Linked DNA regions of Lonchura striata. The protein of the gene in region 1 interacts with the protein of each later gene in a pairwise test. Links are inferred from orthologs where the notes say so. Each region holds a gene or a part of one and is shown on either strand. Other genes may lie near its edges.

Region 1 (7,193 bases):
ATACGGGGCGGCAGCCATGGTGCTCCAAGGCAGCTTTATCCAGCACAGTGCCTTGTGCTCACATCTATTCCAAGGTGCTCCGATTCTGTCCAGGAAGAAAAAAGGGAAATGTGATTTATGTCACCACCAGCAGTTATGTATACATGCAATTTATTTCTGACTTATCGCCTAACCCTGCAGAAAAAGAAACCCAGTTAGCTTTTCCACGTTGGGAAGGATGGATTAGTCATAGCTAATCTCAGGGTGGGCAAACTTCAAAACTAACTTGCAGCTCCCAGTGCGATGAATTATTCACTTGCAAAATTTGTAAAGTAGCACTGAAAGAAGTGTAATGGCACCAATATGGAAGCCCAGTAGATATTGATGACTGAATCATCTCCTCATGGCGCCCATCTCCTGCTGCCAAGCCTCCGAGTTTACATAATTTACTGAAACCCAGGGAGATTAAACCAGGCATTCAAAATGTTGCACATCAAAGGAGGAACCAGATGGTGCGATGCTTTAGGACATTAATAGATCACCTCTGGAGACCTGAATTCAGATGTGACATCAGATACCAACAAAATAAATGTGCTCAGTTCACCCTGCTTTGCTAGAGAGCCAAAACACATTTTCGAGATTTCATACATTTGCCAGGAAGTGAAAGTAGCAGGAATGCTCTGTCAACTTCCACTAGTTCTGGGAGTGACTGTGCACGCTGAAAACACACAGAGAAGGTTTGATGGCAGTGCATCTCAGTAACCTCTGCCATGCTGCACCATGCTTCATGGCAATTAAACACAGCTCAGGCAGGTATTAGCAACAATGGAGTTAACAGACAACTCCAAACATCTGAACTCCAAACATACTCCCAGTGTTCACTATTAGCTCCTGAACTCAGCTTAACTGCGTTTAATTTCTCCTCGTTTCACAATCTCGCAACGCTGACCTCGTTCTTGTCCCCTGGTTCAGTTTTACACCACTCTGGTTGCTGTTCAGCTTCAATCCAGGTTTCTCCACCCTCACATCCCTCCCAGCAGGGAGCAGATCCCAGCAGCTCTCCTGCCAAAGCAGCCATCCATTCAAAAGGAACAGAACAGGGCTCACATCATTAAGTTATTATTCACTAGACTGGGTTTCAAATCCTTTGTTATTGTACTGCTTAGCCACTAAAAAATAGGGAAGAAAACCTTTCTTCTAGGGAAGAGGAGGAGGAGAAGGAAGTAGTTAAGTCTTTGAAATGAAGACACAGTGGCAGAGAGATGTGAACACACAGCTCTGAGAAATGGCTGCATGGACACAGCATTCTCACTTCCCTGCTGGCTCTGCTGCCTTTCTCTTTGGGAAAAATTCTGTGTATTTCAGTTTGCTGTGTGCTCCTCTGCCGGAAAACAACTGCAATGAAGAAAAGATCTTTATGCTCATACAGAAAAGAAAGAAAGCCCCCTAATTTTAATTTGTCAGCTGCAGTTCAGAATCCTTTAAAGGCTGTATTTCAGGAAGGGATTCAGTGGTGTGGCAGAATCTCCAGGCACCATGCTGGGCTCAGCTCGACAGTGGCAAGTTGAGTAGCACGGCCCTGGCCCCAGGGAAGCAGAAACCTGGGCACTGCCATGGAGAACAGAAACCTTCCTCCGAGGCAGGAAAAATCTGTGATTTAAAATTATTTTAAAAAATGAACACAGGATACCAGGTTCATTATTCTTACTTTCCTTGGAAACACGTCAAAAGACTTGCTTAGGGAAGGACGAGGGAGTAGCAGAGGCACCAAGTACTAAGAGTTATATTAAAAGCTACCTTTAAAACAAGTATTTTCATTTAAGAAGAATGTAGATGGATTCTAAGTCAGGTTGGGCTTTTAGAGAGCTGTTTTTTATGACATTCTTTTCATGTATAACCCCCTTTATCAGAATGTCAGCGTGCCCTCAGTAACGGGACATTATTTTTCCTTTTATCTCCCTCTCACACTCGACTGTGCCTCCATGGAAGTTTCCTTAACAGCGAGTTGTTCTTGCGTGTCGGTCCCTCCCGGGGCAGCTCCTCTGACGCAGAGCAGGGTGTTACAGAAAGCCTCAGCTGAGGATCAAGCCCATAAAACCGTGAATTATGCGAGTTCGGCTTCCTTACATTCGAAAGAAATTTCCTGCCGTGGTTTCTGTTAGCCGGTGTGTCTGCGGTGAGAACACCGGCTTCACTTGTGATTCAGAGCTGGTGTCATTAATGAGGGAAAATAGTGGGGTAATGCTGCAAAAGGAGTTATCACAACAACAAAACAAACAGGCCAGACCCTGGGTTTGGGGGTGGGGGTTTCAGTGAGAAATGCAAGGATTTGGGGGGGTTTAACTGAGAAATGCAAGGGTTTGCAGGGTTTCAGTGAGAAATGCAAGGGTTTGTGGGGTTTCAGTGAGAAATCCAAGGGTTTGGGGGGGTTCAGTGAGAAATGCAAGGGTTTGCGGGGTTTCAGTGAGAAATGCAAGGGTTTGGGGGGGTTTTCAGTGAGAAATGCAAGGGTTTGAGGGGGGTTTCAGTAAGAAATCCAAGGATTTGAGGGGGGTTCAGTGAGAAATGCAAGGATTTGGGGGGGTTTAACTGAGAAAGGCAAGGGTTTGCGGGGTTTCAGTGAGAAATCCAAGGGTTTGTTGGGGTTCAGTGAGAAATGCAAGGGTTGGTTGGAAGGACCTTTACGATGCCCTGGCTGCAGCCCTGCCATGGGCGGGGAACGCGTCCCGCCAGCCAGGCTGCTCCGGCCCGGGCACGTCAGGGGCCGCTGCCTGCCCCGGTGTGCCCACAGAGCCCACGCCCAGCTCCGCCATGGCCGTGGGGTCCACGGCAGCGGGGCGGGCGCGGCCCCGTGGCCCTTTCCATCCCCTCCATGCCGTTCCCATCCCACCCCATCCCATCTTGTCCCGCCCGTCCCCTCACGCCGCCCGCCCGGGGGTCCCGCCGTGCCCGCCCCGCCCTGCAGGGGGCGCCGCCGCCGCCGCCCCGCGCGCGCTCCTCACCTGCCGCCGCTCCGGGCCGCGCCGCTCCCGGCGTGCGCCGCGCGCCGCGCCTCACGTGGGCGCGCCCGCGGGGCCTGCCGGGAGATGTAGTCCCGCGGGGGCTGTGGCTGAGGGCAGGACCTCGGTCTGCCGGGCCCGTGCTGCGGCTCGGTGTGAAAGGAAACGTTAAAAGTAACGAGGGGAAAGCAGGAACGTCTTTTCGGATTTGGTTTTTTTTTTTTTTTTTTTTTTTTTTTTTTTTTTTTTTTTTTGTGTGTGTTTTCGTTTTTATTTTTTTTTTAAATTCGTTGTTATGTGTCATTTTGGCACGCGTGGGTTGCTCACTGCCCTTTCCCTGATCACGCACTGATGCTGTGGGATCAGCCCCTTCCCCTTCTCTTTCACCTTCCCTTTCCCCTTTCCCTTCCTTTCTCCTTTCGCTACTCTTCTCCTTTCCCTTTTTCATTTCCCTTGCCTTGCTTGCCTTGAATTCCCTTCTCTTCCTTTCCCTCCCATTTCCCCCTCCCCTTTTCCCTTTTCCTCTCCCTTTCCCTTCCCCCAGCAGGTTCCTGAGTGTTTGACAGGTTTTGCATCACCTCCTGAAAACGTGTGCTTCTCCTTTGATGCCGTACCTGTGATCAGCCTGTGGACTCCAGGACCAAAATCACTATTTTTGGGCACAGCTGCAGCGTGAGAGGCTGGCAGTGGTGGCCAGAGTCAGGGATTTGGCCACTGGCCTATGGCTGGGCTCTGCCCCGTGTTTCCCGGAGCCAGTATCACCATCAGGAGCACCGACCCCGTTCTAACCCCATTTTTGCTTGGATGTCATGGATCTGTTTAGGGGTGGCAGAGAGCCCCTTCTGCTGTGCCCCTGTGGGGCTGCAGAGCGAACTGAGGAGTGCCAGGGCTCGGGGCTCCCTGTGCCGGGGGGGAACAGTGTCCTTCACACCCCCAGTGCCACAGGCAGCATCCCCTGGAGGTCAGGCTGGCAGGAATTCTCTGCCTGGGGAAGAGGCGAGTGCTCAGTTTAACCATTTCCCAAATTCCCTCCGCGTGGCCTCTCTGCCTGCGGCGCTTTTCCACTGCTCACCTGCTGCAGCCGCCCGACCTGCGCTGAAGAAAGTGCCTGCATCATGCAGCAAGTCTGGCCACCTTCTGCTCTTGGTGGTTTTTCCACTTTGTTTAGAAAACAACAGATCATTCAGATGGGATCTATGTCCCTGGAGCAGCAGGGAGCAGCAGTGTGGGCAGTGGATGCACGCAGATGCAAAGCAAAGAAAACGAGTGAGATTTCCTCAGTGCCCTGTTTCAAACCCCAGTGGCTCCCTGGGTGTGTTGCTGTGCCCAGGGAGGGGACACAGGGTTCACTCCCAGTTCCTGCCCTCACCAGGGAAATGCTTTTTTCAGTCCCTGATGTAGAATGGATGTAAACACTGAAACCAGGGTGGTCTGGCAGAACTTGTGAGGCCACCCACACCTGAAAATGAACAGTGTGAGGAAAAAACAATGGTAGAAATAGGAAATAATCTTTCAATGCATCCTGGGGAGTAAACAAAGGACTCTCTGGATTTAATTAGAGGTGACAATGACCAGCTGACGATGTTATCCATCATGTGTGAGTATGGGGACCCTACATGACAAGGAAGGATGGGAAGGTTGTCCAGCCCAGGACCCTGGTCACCCTGCCGAAGTTCCTTTGCCAAAGCTATGTTATAGGGGATACTCTCAAAATCCCCTTCTATAGAGGGTTATCAGAGGTCTCTAAGAGCTCTTTTTTCTTAATACCTCAGGCTTGCAAGTGTGCAAATGTCTCATCTGAAGCTGAGGTGAGATCCTGCAGGCACAAGAGATGATCTGCCCCCAGATTCTCTTTGCTGGTGATGCCTCAGGTTTTAGCTGTTCTGTTTTTCAGATTCTGCTTTAGTGCAGTTCTGAGCTTCATATGAGGGGATGCTGAGCTCTGTGCACAGAGCAGGGAGACAAAACAATTCCTTTTCCAGCTGGACACCAAGGACAAATGATCCAAACCTCAGCCCAGGAGCACAAACACCGTGGGCTGCAGAGAGAAAAACAAGCAGGGTGGGACTGCCTGGGCTGAAGCTGGAATGGGACAATGAACTCCAAGGTGCCAATGGAGCAGAACTGATCCCAGGGAGAGCCCCGGGAGCGCTCGTGCATTTTGGGACCATTTTGGGTCATTTGGGTGCAGCCCTGGCTGGGCTCTGGTGCTGCCCAAGGTGGATCCATGGAGGAGATGCTTTGAATAAATCCCTGCTTTCTTCTTTAACTCCCTGTTCTGGACAGCCTTCTCAAGGGGATATCTTTGGGGTCATCCCTGGGCAGTGAGGCTGTGGCAGCCTGGGGGTCACACACACCACCAGTCACAAGCACGGGGGTGCAACTCTCTGTTCACACCTTGGTGTTGGATGTCAGGATTGTGTTTAATTGAGTTTGGTTAATCAGTTGGGAGCAGAAGGCACAGCGTCATCAGGGAGAGGGGGTGTGAAGGGCAGAGGCAGTGTGGGCATAAAAGTACTCTTCACCAGGGACTGTGGTGACAGGATGAGGAGTTATGGGTACACACTGAAACAGGGTAACGTGGATTAGATATTGAGAAGTTTATTGCTATGAGGATGGTGAGGCAATGGCAGAGGTTGCCCAGGGAGCTTGTGGTTGCTCCATCCCTGGATGTGCTCAAAGCAAGGTTGGATGGGGCTTGGAGCAACCTGGTTTAATGGGACACATCCCTTCCCCTGGCACAGGATTGCAACGGGATGATGTTTAAGGTCCACTCCAGCCCCTTCACTTTCTATAAATAGGAGATTAAAAGAGGTCACAGAGCCACACTCTCAGGAGTTTATCAAGCACCGACACCCAGGGGATGTTACACATTGGCTGTGCCACACTCCCCTCACCGAGGCTGGGATGAGGATGGAAGGATGAGACCCCACGGATGGTGTGGAGGGGCTGCGGGGCGAGGGCGGTGGGATGTGTGGGATGGTGTGCCCACGCCGGGATGGTGTGCCAAGCCTGGGATGGTGTGCTGCACCCTGGGATGGTGTGCCCAGAACAGGGTGGTGTGCATGCCAGGATGGTGTGTCCAGGCTGGGATGGTGTGCCTCTAGCTGGGATGGTGTGCTACATCCTGGGATGGTGTGCCCAGGCCAGGATGGTGTGCATGCTGGGATGGTGTTCCCCACACCGGGATTGTGTCCCCACACCGGGATGCTGTTCCCCATCCCAGGATGGTGTTCCCACGCCAGGATGTGTTCCCCACGCCGGGATGCTGTTCCCCACACTGGGATGTGTTCCCCACGCCGGGATGCTGTTCCCCACGCCGGGATGTGTTCGTCATCCCGGGATGTGTTCCCCACGCCGGGATGATGCCCGCGCCGTCCCGCCGCGGTGCCACGAGAGGGCAGCAGGGCCCCGCGGACCGGCACGGCCGCGCTGCCCCGCCGGGCCGGGACCCGCCGGGAGGGTCCGGCGGCGGCCCCGCATCCCGAGCTCCGCGCTCCCATCCCGAGCTCCGCGCCCGCATCCCGAGCTCCGCGCCCGCATCCCGAGCTCCGCGCTCCCATCCCGAGCTCCGCGCCCGCATCCCGAGCTCCGCGCCCGCATCCCGAGCTCCGCGCCCGCATCCCGAGCTCCGCGCTCCCATCCCGAGCTCCGCGCTCCCATCCCGAGCTCCGCGCTCCCATCCCGAGCTCCGCGCTCCCATCCCGAGCTCCGCGCCCACATCCCGAGCTCCGCGCTCCCATCCCGAGCTCCGCGCTCCCATCCCGCAGCCCCCGGCACGTTGAGCTCCGGGAATGACATTCCCAGCCGGGACTCCTGCCGCGCGTCCCTAAAGGCGCCTCGGGAGTAATCCCGTGCCCAGCCCACGCTGAGCTCCGGGGCTGGGGTGTCGACGGTTGTTTGGTGGTTTGGCTGGGGTCAGCCAAAATTGGAATCTCAGAATGGTTTGGGTTGAGAGGGACCTTAAAGCTCATCTCGTTCCACCCCCTGCCATGGCAGGGACACCTCCCACTATCCCAGATTGCTCCAAGCCTTGTCCAACCTGGCTTTGGGCACTGCCAGGGATCCAGGGGCAGCCACAGCTTCTCTGGGCACCCTGTGCCAGGGCCTGCCCACCCTCACAGGAAAGAATTTCTTCCTGATAACCCATCTAACCCTGCTCTCTGCCAGACATTCCCTTTTGTCCTGTCCCATCCTTCCTGCACACATGGATGG
Region 2 (7,860 bases), on another chromosome or scaffold:
TCTGAGTAGCATATATCATTTGGAATCAGATGTACAAGTGAAAATGCACATTAGACAAAAAAAATTTAAAAATATGCTAACAAAATTTAGGGAGCAGAATTAAAAAAATTACAGTGAGAGCCCTTTTATGGATAGTAAGGTAACTATTTAGCTCTGTGTTAACTTTCTGTGTCATATGAGAAGCAAGCTTTGTAGACTGAAATGCTTTTTTTTTTTTATTAGACTAGCTAATAAAGTTGGAAAAGTGAGCGTACAAACATTTCAGGTCTTGTGTAAACACCTCACATACATGAAAGCTTCTCAACATGCATTCTCAACACAGCATAACTAATACTACGTTTCATTCTACAAAGCCTCGCATCTTCCAATAATGTTAAGTACAAAATATTTGCAAGAGGAAGACATAATCTGTTTCTTTAAGTGAGGTCAATTGGTGTCATATTGTTACAACTTTGACTATTTGTTTCCTAAGACTCATGCTAAAGTGGTAATTATGAAATAAAGGGTATACCTTTATTGCCATGAAGCTCATTTCTAATTGCCACTTTCATCTGCTGAAATTCTTGTAACTTTATATCTTCTTCTGTTAGCAGATACCGCTTCCCTGCCATAAGAAAAAAAGAGGAAGGTAGAGTTTTATGTTACATTGTTTGATTTATTAGTACAGAACCTAGCATGTATGAATTACAGACAACTGTGCAATGCCAGACCATTGGGATAGAACACTATACAAAACCTGCAGTTACTCACATCACTGACAAAAGAACCCAAATAATATGTCACAGCTTTCCAGAGCTTATGTGTACAAGGATGAAGGATCTAGTTCTTGGATGTGCAAAAGAAAAACTAGAGACCACATTCCTCTACACCAAGCCAAAGTACAAGAAGATTCCGCAAAAAATTCCTGCTCCCTCCTTTACACTTTCATAAGGATTTGTCTTCTTTTCCTTTGTATTCCACAATTCACTAATGGCACAACTTGCTTATCCCACAGGTGCTGCTCTTGCTACTATAAAATGAAACATTCTGGAAGTTCTAAATGCAGCAGAAAGTCACAAGAAGCTTGTTTTTTTAATCTATAAAACAAACAAGTGTATTATTTGGATTGCAACACTCTGGAGACCTAGTAATGTTCTGCTGCAGTACAGACATCAGAGGTAAGACAGTCACTGAGTCTAGAATGTCAAAATTAACTTTGGGTGCTGACTTCAACTGTACTGTGTTGCAAGCTGCTTTAAAACAAGCATCATGCAAAAGCTATTTGACAACTTTTTGCTGTCACAAAAACAGGTGTCCAGATGATTTTTATTTGCAACTACTGACTTTGTAACAGAGAGTCACAATAACAGCTTACAATCTAATATTTTAAGGTTTTGGCTTATAAGGAATTATTCTAACCATGAAAGCTTAAGAGTAAGTACTGAACTGAGTAAGGTTGTTTATTCTCATTCTGCATATCCCTTGGAAAACGTAACTGGCCATATAAATAAAAACACTTGTTTTCTAAGCAAGTGAAGCATGATAACGACACGCTTCATAAAATCTGAAAAAAAAATCCATTAAATGGCACATTTATCCATTAAATTTAATTGAAACAGTTCCAAGGGACAAACAAATACATTTTATTCAGCATGAAACTGACCTGTATTACACTGCCATTTCCTTTCCACAGATCTCTGTTGGTCTACCACTGAAAGACCATTGTAAAGGGCCTCTTCAAAGCTGGTGCAGAAATTTTGCTTGTGCTTGGGGTGGGACTGGTGCACCACACATCATGGACTCTCAGTGGTCAGTGTCAATACAGAGATTAGGGCAGCATAATTTTATCTTTCTTGAATTCAATTTTCTGAATTGTACTGCTTCCTTAGACTCATACCTTAGAGTGTTACAGAAATGTTTCAAAACCATAGGGTCTGCCAAGGAAAAGGAGGGAGATGAGTATGAGAGCTAGCATATGCAGGTGGTGCAAACTATTCCAGAGAACTTGACCAAGCTGCTTAGGGTCAGGCACACTGCAACCCTCTAAATGGCAGTCCCTGAAGGGGATGGGCAGAACACCACTCAGAGAAAGTGGTCTCCATGTCTCTGAGGGATATAACAGAGGTGTAACCTGAGCACTGCTGGCACAGCAGGACAAAGAGCCCAGCCAGGGCCCAGGCTGGGGAGCCCTCTGCCATGCACCTCTTTTCCATGTGTCCCTTCTTCCTTATCTCTGAAACCCAGGTCTGGATAAGGCTGTCGTCCTCCCAGAATAAATAGACATTTATGTTCTTTTTTTTTTTTTTTTTTTAATGTCATATCCTGAGAGTAGCAAGCAGGGGATATGCTGATTAACACTGATCTCTTGGGTGACCCTAGGGCAGCCTTTCAGTGGGGCCTGCAACAGCTGGAGTGGAACGGGCACAAGGGCGTGCAGTGCTAGGACACGTGGGAAAAGCCTTCGACTAGAAAGGCTTTGATTAGAGAATAGGTTTAGGTAGCATATGAAGAAGGAATTCTTTACTGGGAGGGTGGAAGACAGTGGAATAAGGTGCTTCGAGAAGCTGTGGATCTAGCATTCCTGGACACGCTCGGGGCCAGGCCGGATGGGGCTCTCAGCAACGGGGTCTAGCGGAAGGTGTCCCCATGGCACGCAGTGGATGATATTTAAGGTCCCTTCCAACCCAGGCCATTACGTGACTGCTGCACCGATTCTGTGATGTCCCTCCCCGGAGGGCACCCCTGCCGCCAGCTCGGCCTGTCCACCGCAGCACAATCCGCCACAGCACGCCGCGCCGAGCGGGGCATCCGCGCAGAACTACAGCTCCCGTCGGGCACAGAGCCGGCAGCGCGGGCGGGCCTGCCCGGAGCTGCAGTACCCCGCTAGCCCCGCGCCCCGGCCGCGCATCCCGCCGCCCACCCCCGCCGCACAAGCCGCGGTACCTCCGGGAGCGCAGCCCCAGCCGCCCGCGGCGGGCGGCCGGACCGCCGAGCGCCGCGCCGCCTGCCGCGCCGCCCGCCCGGAGCCGCCCGCCAGCACCGCCGCCATCGCCGGCCGGGCCGAGGGGCGGGGCGCCCGCAGCCGGCCCCGCTCCGCCGCCCGCCGCCGGCCCCGCTCCGCCGCCCGCCTCCTCCGGCCTCGGCGCCATGGCCGCCCCCGGGCTCCGGCGCGCCGTGCTCTGCAGCGGGAGCGCCCTCGGCGCGGCCCCAGGTCGGTGCGCTGCTGGCGGGGCGGGGGGCGCGGCGCGGCCGCGCTGGTCGCCGCATGAGCAAGGACGGGCTGTTGCGTAGGGACTTGACTCACCTTTCCCTCCTCGTCTCCTGCTATGTGCATGTGTGGAGTTGGGGGTAGCTCAGAAGAGGTTTAATGGCTAGTATGTAGAGGGGGAGGCCGTTCGCAGTTCGTTTTTTTAATAGGCAATGGATTTCATAGCTCGAGCTGCCTTTCTGGGTTAGGGCAAGCCACGCGGGATGGCGCGGGAGGCCGCCAGACCCGCGGCGGTGCGCGCTTAGGAAAACTGGTACCGGCGGTGACAGAGGCCGCCGAGCCGATGTTTCGGGAAAGCGAAGACCGGGCCGCCGGGCAGAGCTGGCCCGGCGGGCTGCGGGCGGTGCGCGCTCGCCGGGCTCGTGTTCAGCGGCACCGCGGCCTGCGCCTCGGAACTGCCCGGAACGCCTCGTGATGGCTAGCGGCCTCCTTAGCTGTCAGTGAATGAATGCCTTTTTGTCTGTGAAGGGAAAAATAGACAATAAAAAACCCAAAGCCCGCCACACCAACCCCCCCGATTTTTTTATATGTCTCTTCTATCAACGTAATTAAAAAGACTGCTAAAGGAAGTGCCACAAACCAGAAATACTTTTTTTTTTTTAATTATTATTATTATTCTGTTTGGTATAGTGTTATACATATTTTTGAAGTCTGGAAGTCTGTGTTCTGAATCTTCCTTTGATAGTTTCATGAGATGTTCAGTGCAGGATGTGTGGGTATATTGTGTGTCAGAAGGGTGATAAGAAGGAAGAATTGTTTCACAAGGGAAACTTTTAGTGCTAGCAGATAGGTATTTCGGTACAGGCTTTGAAGTAGTTGCTAAGACTTCTATATAGCATTGTAGCATCTCTTTTTAAAATATTCTTATTTCATGACATTATTTCCTGTGATTTTTCTGCATGTATTTCTCTATCTTCCTTCAGTGAGTTTTATCCAGGTGTTCCTCATGCATTTTCAAGACCTCATCATCTATGACTGATACACAAATTCTTCCAGCTGAAGCATTTTCTGTTTTGTTTCAAAAGCTAGCACAGCATCTTGAGCAGTGGTACAAAGAATGTTTGGAAAAAGCTTACAAATATATTTCAGTGAGTCTGTAGTTCATAGGATATGGAAGAGTGGCGATTATAAAAATGAAAGTATTTTCAGTGAGACATGCCTTTATAGGTGGAAATAACCATTCAGCAACAACAGAAAAGCATGTTTGTGTGGTTTTTATTTTTGCTTATGTTTTTAACCTACATTTAGCTAATTGCTAACATTTGATGAAGAAGGTTTGTGTGCACAAAGAAGTTGCTTTTATTGTTGAGGTTTTTTCTACCTTTACAAATCTGTTATTTTCTTAAATACAAAGTTTAGGTTTGGAAATACATGTTTCATGCTGAAAAAAAGCTTTTGGGGAAAGCTTTTCAGTTTTAAATATTACAACATAATAGTTGATCCACATACAAAGAATCTGAATTGTTACATTAATAGTTGTGGCATAAAGACAGTTTAATGCATTCCACTTGGCAAATATGACAGAAGAAGGTGGTACCTAATAAAATGTTTGTTTAGAGTTGTGTAAGCAACCCAGCTTACATAGTGATTTCTCTGCTCATTAGGTCGAAGATCTCTTCTTTCTTCAGCCTATGTGGACAGCTCAAAATGGGAAAAAAGAAAAAAAGAGGAGCATAATCCTGGTGAGAAAAGTTTGTTTCTTGTCTCCACTTTGTCTAATTAATTACAACCTGAGCTCATTTTGGGCTACCTTATTATTTGTAAATCCTTCAAAATAAAAAATGGTGTGAAACAATGTTTCTGAGCTTCTGTGTCAAAAAGCACTCAACATGTTAAAAATTTGCCATATGTATTCAAGGCCATGGTGCAGAAACAAATTAGAATTCCCCTGCTTACTTAAGGTTTAGTTTATATGAGCTGATTTTTTTTCTTTCACGGAATTCAAAGTGTATGACTATCTCTGACTGATGTCATTGACATTGTTTTAACGGTATTGCAGTGTGAAAAAAAGGTATTCTGGTAATGATCTAAGTATTATAGGACAATCAAAAATGATCTGAGTATTACAGGACAATTAAATTTAAAAACATTTGTTTAAAGAGGAAATTTTCCTCAGGGTTTTACAGTTTCTTCTTGAATTATAGAGGTTTTTTTAGGAGGGAGTAGGGAATGAAGCTAAACTTTTTATTTTCAAGAGGTTACATGTTAAAGTGTATCTTTACATGGTGCTGAGATCTCCTGTGCAAATTTTATAGCTAAATTATTTAAATAGATTGCATTTGAAATTAAATTCCACTGCCTTTTTGGTGTTAAGGGCAAAGCATTTTTCTGTGCTAAAGATGGATTTTTTTTTAAAATTTTGCACCACAGGTGTTTTGGGGACTCCTTTATTCATGGTCTGTTTTCATTACTAGGCCCCTGAACTGTGGTTGTTACTTGCAAAACAGATTATGGGGCTGAAAAAAGAATCATCAGGTGAAATTCAAGGGCTTTTGTCAGGCAGGACAGACAGAATGATCAGACTGATGTTTTTTATGCACTAATTTATTTTTTTTATTTGCCAATGAACATTTAGGTGGGAATTGTCAATGTGTACTGTACACGGGTGAGAAACTGGTGGATCTTTATGTATGTAGCTTGGATCCTGCAGAGACTGTTAATACCTTGTAACACTTTGCTATCAATAGGACTGCTCATGCTGTGTCTTTTGGGCTGGAGCCACAGATTTATGCCCTGGGATACATTTGAACTAGTCATCTCTAGGTGAAAATGCGTTCTTAATTTGGCAATTGTCATAGCCAGTAGAAATCTACTGTAGAAAAACCACTGTTGTGCCTGTGCTGGTACAGTCCCTGTTTGGCTTTCTCCAGGCCTGGCAGGACCTTCTGTGACTGTTTGGCAGGCACAGTTCTTGCTACTCCTCTGCTGATGGTCTTGAGCCAGAGCAGATGTCTATTCCATGATTTTCAAATAACTGCTTTGCATTTTTATTTTGTGTTCACAGAAAAGAGAAAACAAGTTAGCACGGTGTCAGCTGTATTAGCATTTTCAGAGAGGAGACAGTCCTGCAGACGTCTGCTCTGTAGCTCTCAGTTGTCTGGTTGCACATATAAACTTGTATGTACTGGCTGGTGATTATAGCTGAGTGAGTTCCTTGTGTTGAGGAAATGCTCTTTTATTTCTGTGTTTCAGAACAGACACTGTTTTAGAACTGTTGTTATGCAAAACTATGTTGTGAGGATACTTTTAAAGGCAAAATAAGTATAGAACTGTTGTTATGCAAAACTATGTTGTGAGGATACTTTTAAAGGCAAAATAAGTATATTTTGATTTAAAGTCAGTTCCATTTCTCTGCTGCAGTGATGTACTATCCCAGATACTCGTTTACTGTGTCCATGTAAGATATGATTTATTGTCTTCACTGTAACCTCAGTTTAGAATCCAGATACGAATGAGTTTAGCAAACTTCACTACTGAAAAATGTATGGGAAAAAGCATGACTGTATTTTTGTACCAAAATGCCTTTAGTAAAGGAGATAACACATTTTCAATTCCTAACTTGGAATCTGCAATTTACTTGTTGGTACGAAGATGCCTGCCTAGAAGTAATATGGATTCCATTTATTAAAAATTATGTAAAAAGGCACCCAGAATCCCAGGGGATGGCAGAATCCAGGTGATATAGGAAATTTCTTTTTTTTTTTTGTTACAAAGATTCACAGTGCCTAAATTGGCTCATCTGCAACACCAGGTGGCAGTGCTGCCCTTACAAACATAAATAATTTCCATTCAAAGCCTTGTAAAGTAAAAAGTTGCTGTTCTTTCCAGCTATGTGGATACAGAGTTAAATGTGGAACATATAAATTTGTAAGGTAAAATACTTGTCTCGGCCTTTATATTTTAGTTAAAAAAAAAAAAAAATTAAAACACGCCTTTCTTTATAGCACCAGTTAGCCTGTGAATTAAGGTATTAGCTCTGCCCATCACTCTCAGGACAGGTATCAGTTTTGTCATCATTTCCCACCACTGGATCAGACTTCTGTCTTGAGTGAACCATTTCTAAGAATACAAGGGTGTTAGTAGAATAAAAGTGACCTTATATGGTGGCCAAATGTGCCCCATATTGATAATGTGCTGCTTGTTGGTGTGGCTACATTCTGTGGACAGGTACACACTGTGAATCAAACTGAAACTATGTTGATTTCCTAGGCCACCAAACTGGTATTAGAAGTTATAGCCACTGATTTGGAAGGTGAGGATCAGTATTTTCTGAGCCACCCTGTTGCAGGCAACAAGATACTGAGTTTCTATGAAGAAATGAAAATAAAAGTGAACATGAGAATACACGATAATGTATATCAGTGTATATAAGACCTCTGTGAAGGTCATGGCCTGAAATTAAATTACTTAAGCTTATACTTATGGCTTGTTTTGTTAATTTCATTAGTTCTTGAATATGCAGTAATACATTTTTAGAGAAATTGAATTTATGGAGAAATGTATTTATGTAGAAATATATTTTTAGGCAGCATATATGAGAGATTTTATAGACTAGTGTGTTTTTTGATGAGTCAGACAAAAGCATTTGCAGTATGTATCTGTTAAAATGTACA

Evidence for each region.
Region 2: the proteins of TRIM32 (region 1) and PTCD2 interact in binary tests that used the Homo sapiens proteins (3 or more experiments, as listed by UniProt). The two-hybrid records come from large-scale screens. The link is inferred for Lonchura striata from reciprocal best matches to the Homo sapiens genes TRIM32 and PTCD2.

What each region holds. Positions count from the first base shown.
Region 1 is NC_134624.1:2,534,040-2,541,232, forward strand, and holds the start of TRIM32 (E3 ubiquitin-protein ligase TRIM32), read right to left. Parts: upstream 3,023-7,193; 5' UTR 2,982-3,022; intron 86-2,981; 5' UTR 19-85; coding exon 1-18. UniProt on the Homo sapiens protein: E3 ubiquitin ligase that plays a role in various biological processes including neural stem cell differentiation, innate immunity, inflammatory resonse and autophagy.
Region 2 is NC_134642.1:15,213,252-15,221,111, forward strand, and holds the start of PTCD2 (pentatricopeptide repeat-containing protein 2, mitochondrial), read right to left. Parts: upstream 3,029-7,860; coding exon 2,923-3,028; intron 2,267-2,922; exon of another isoform or gene 1,643-2,266; intron 605-1,642; coding exon 512-604; intron 1-511. Other genes in the region: MRPS27 (small ribosomal subunit protein mS27), read left to right, coding at 3,127-3,190, 4,852-4,929. UniProt on the Homo sapiens protein: Involved in mitochondrial RNA maturation and mitochondrial respiratory chain function.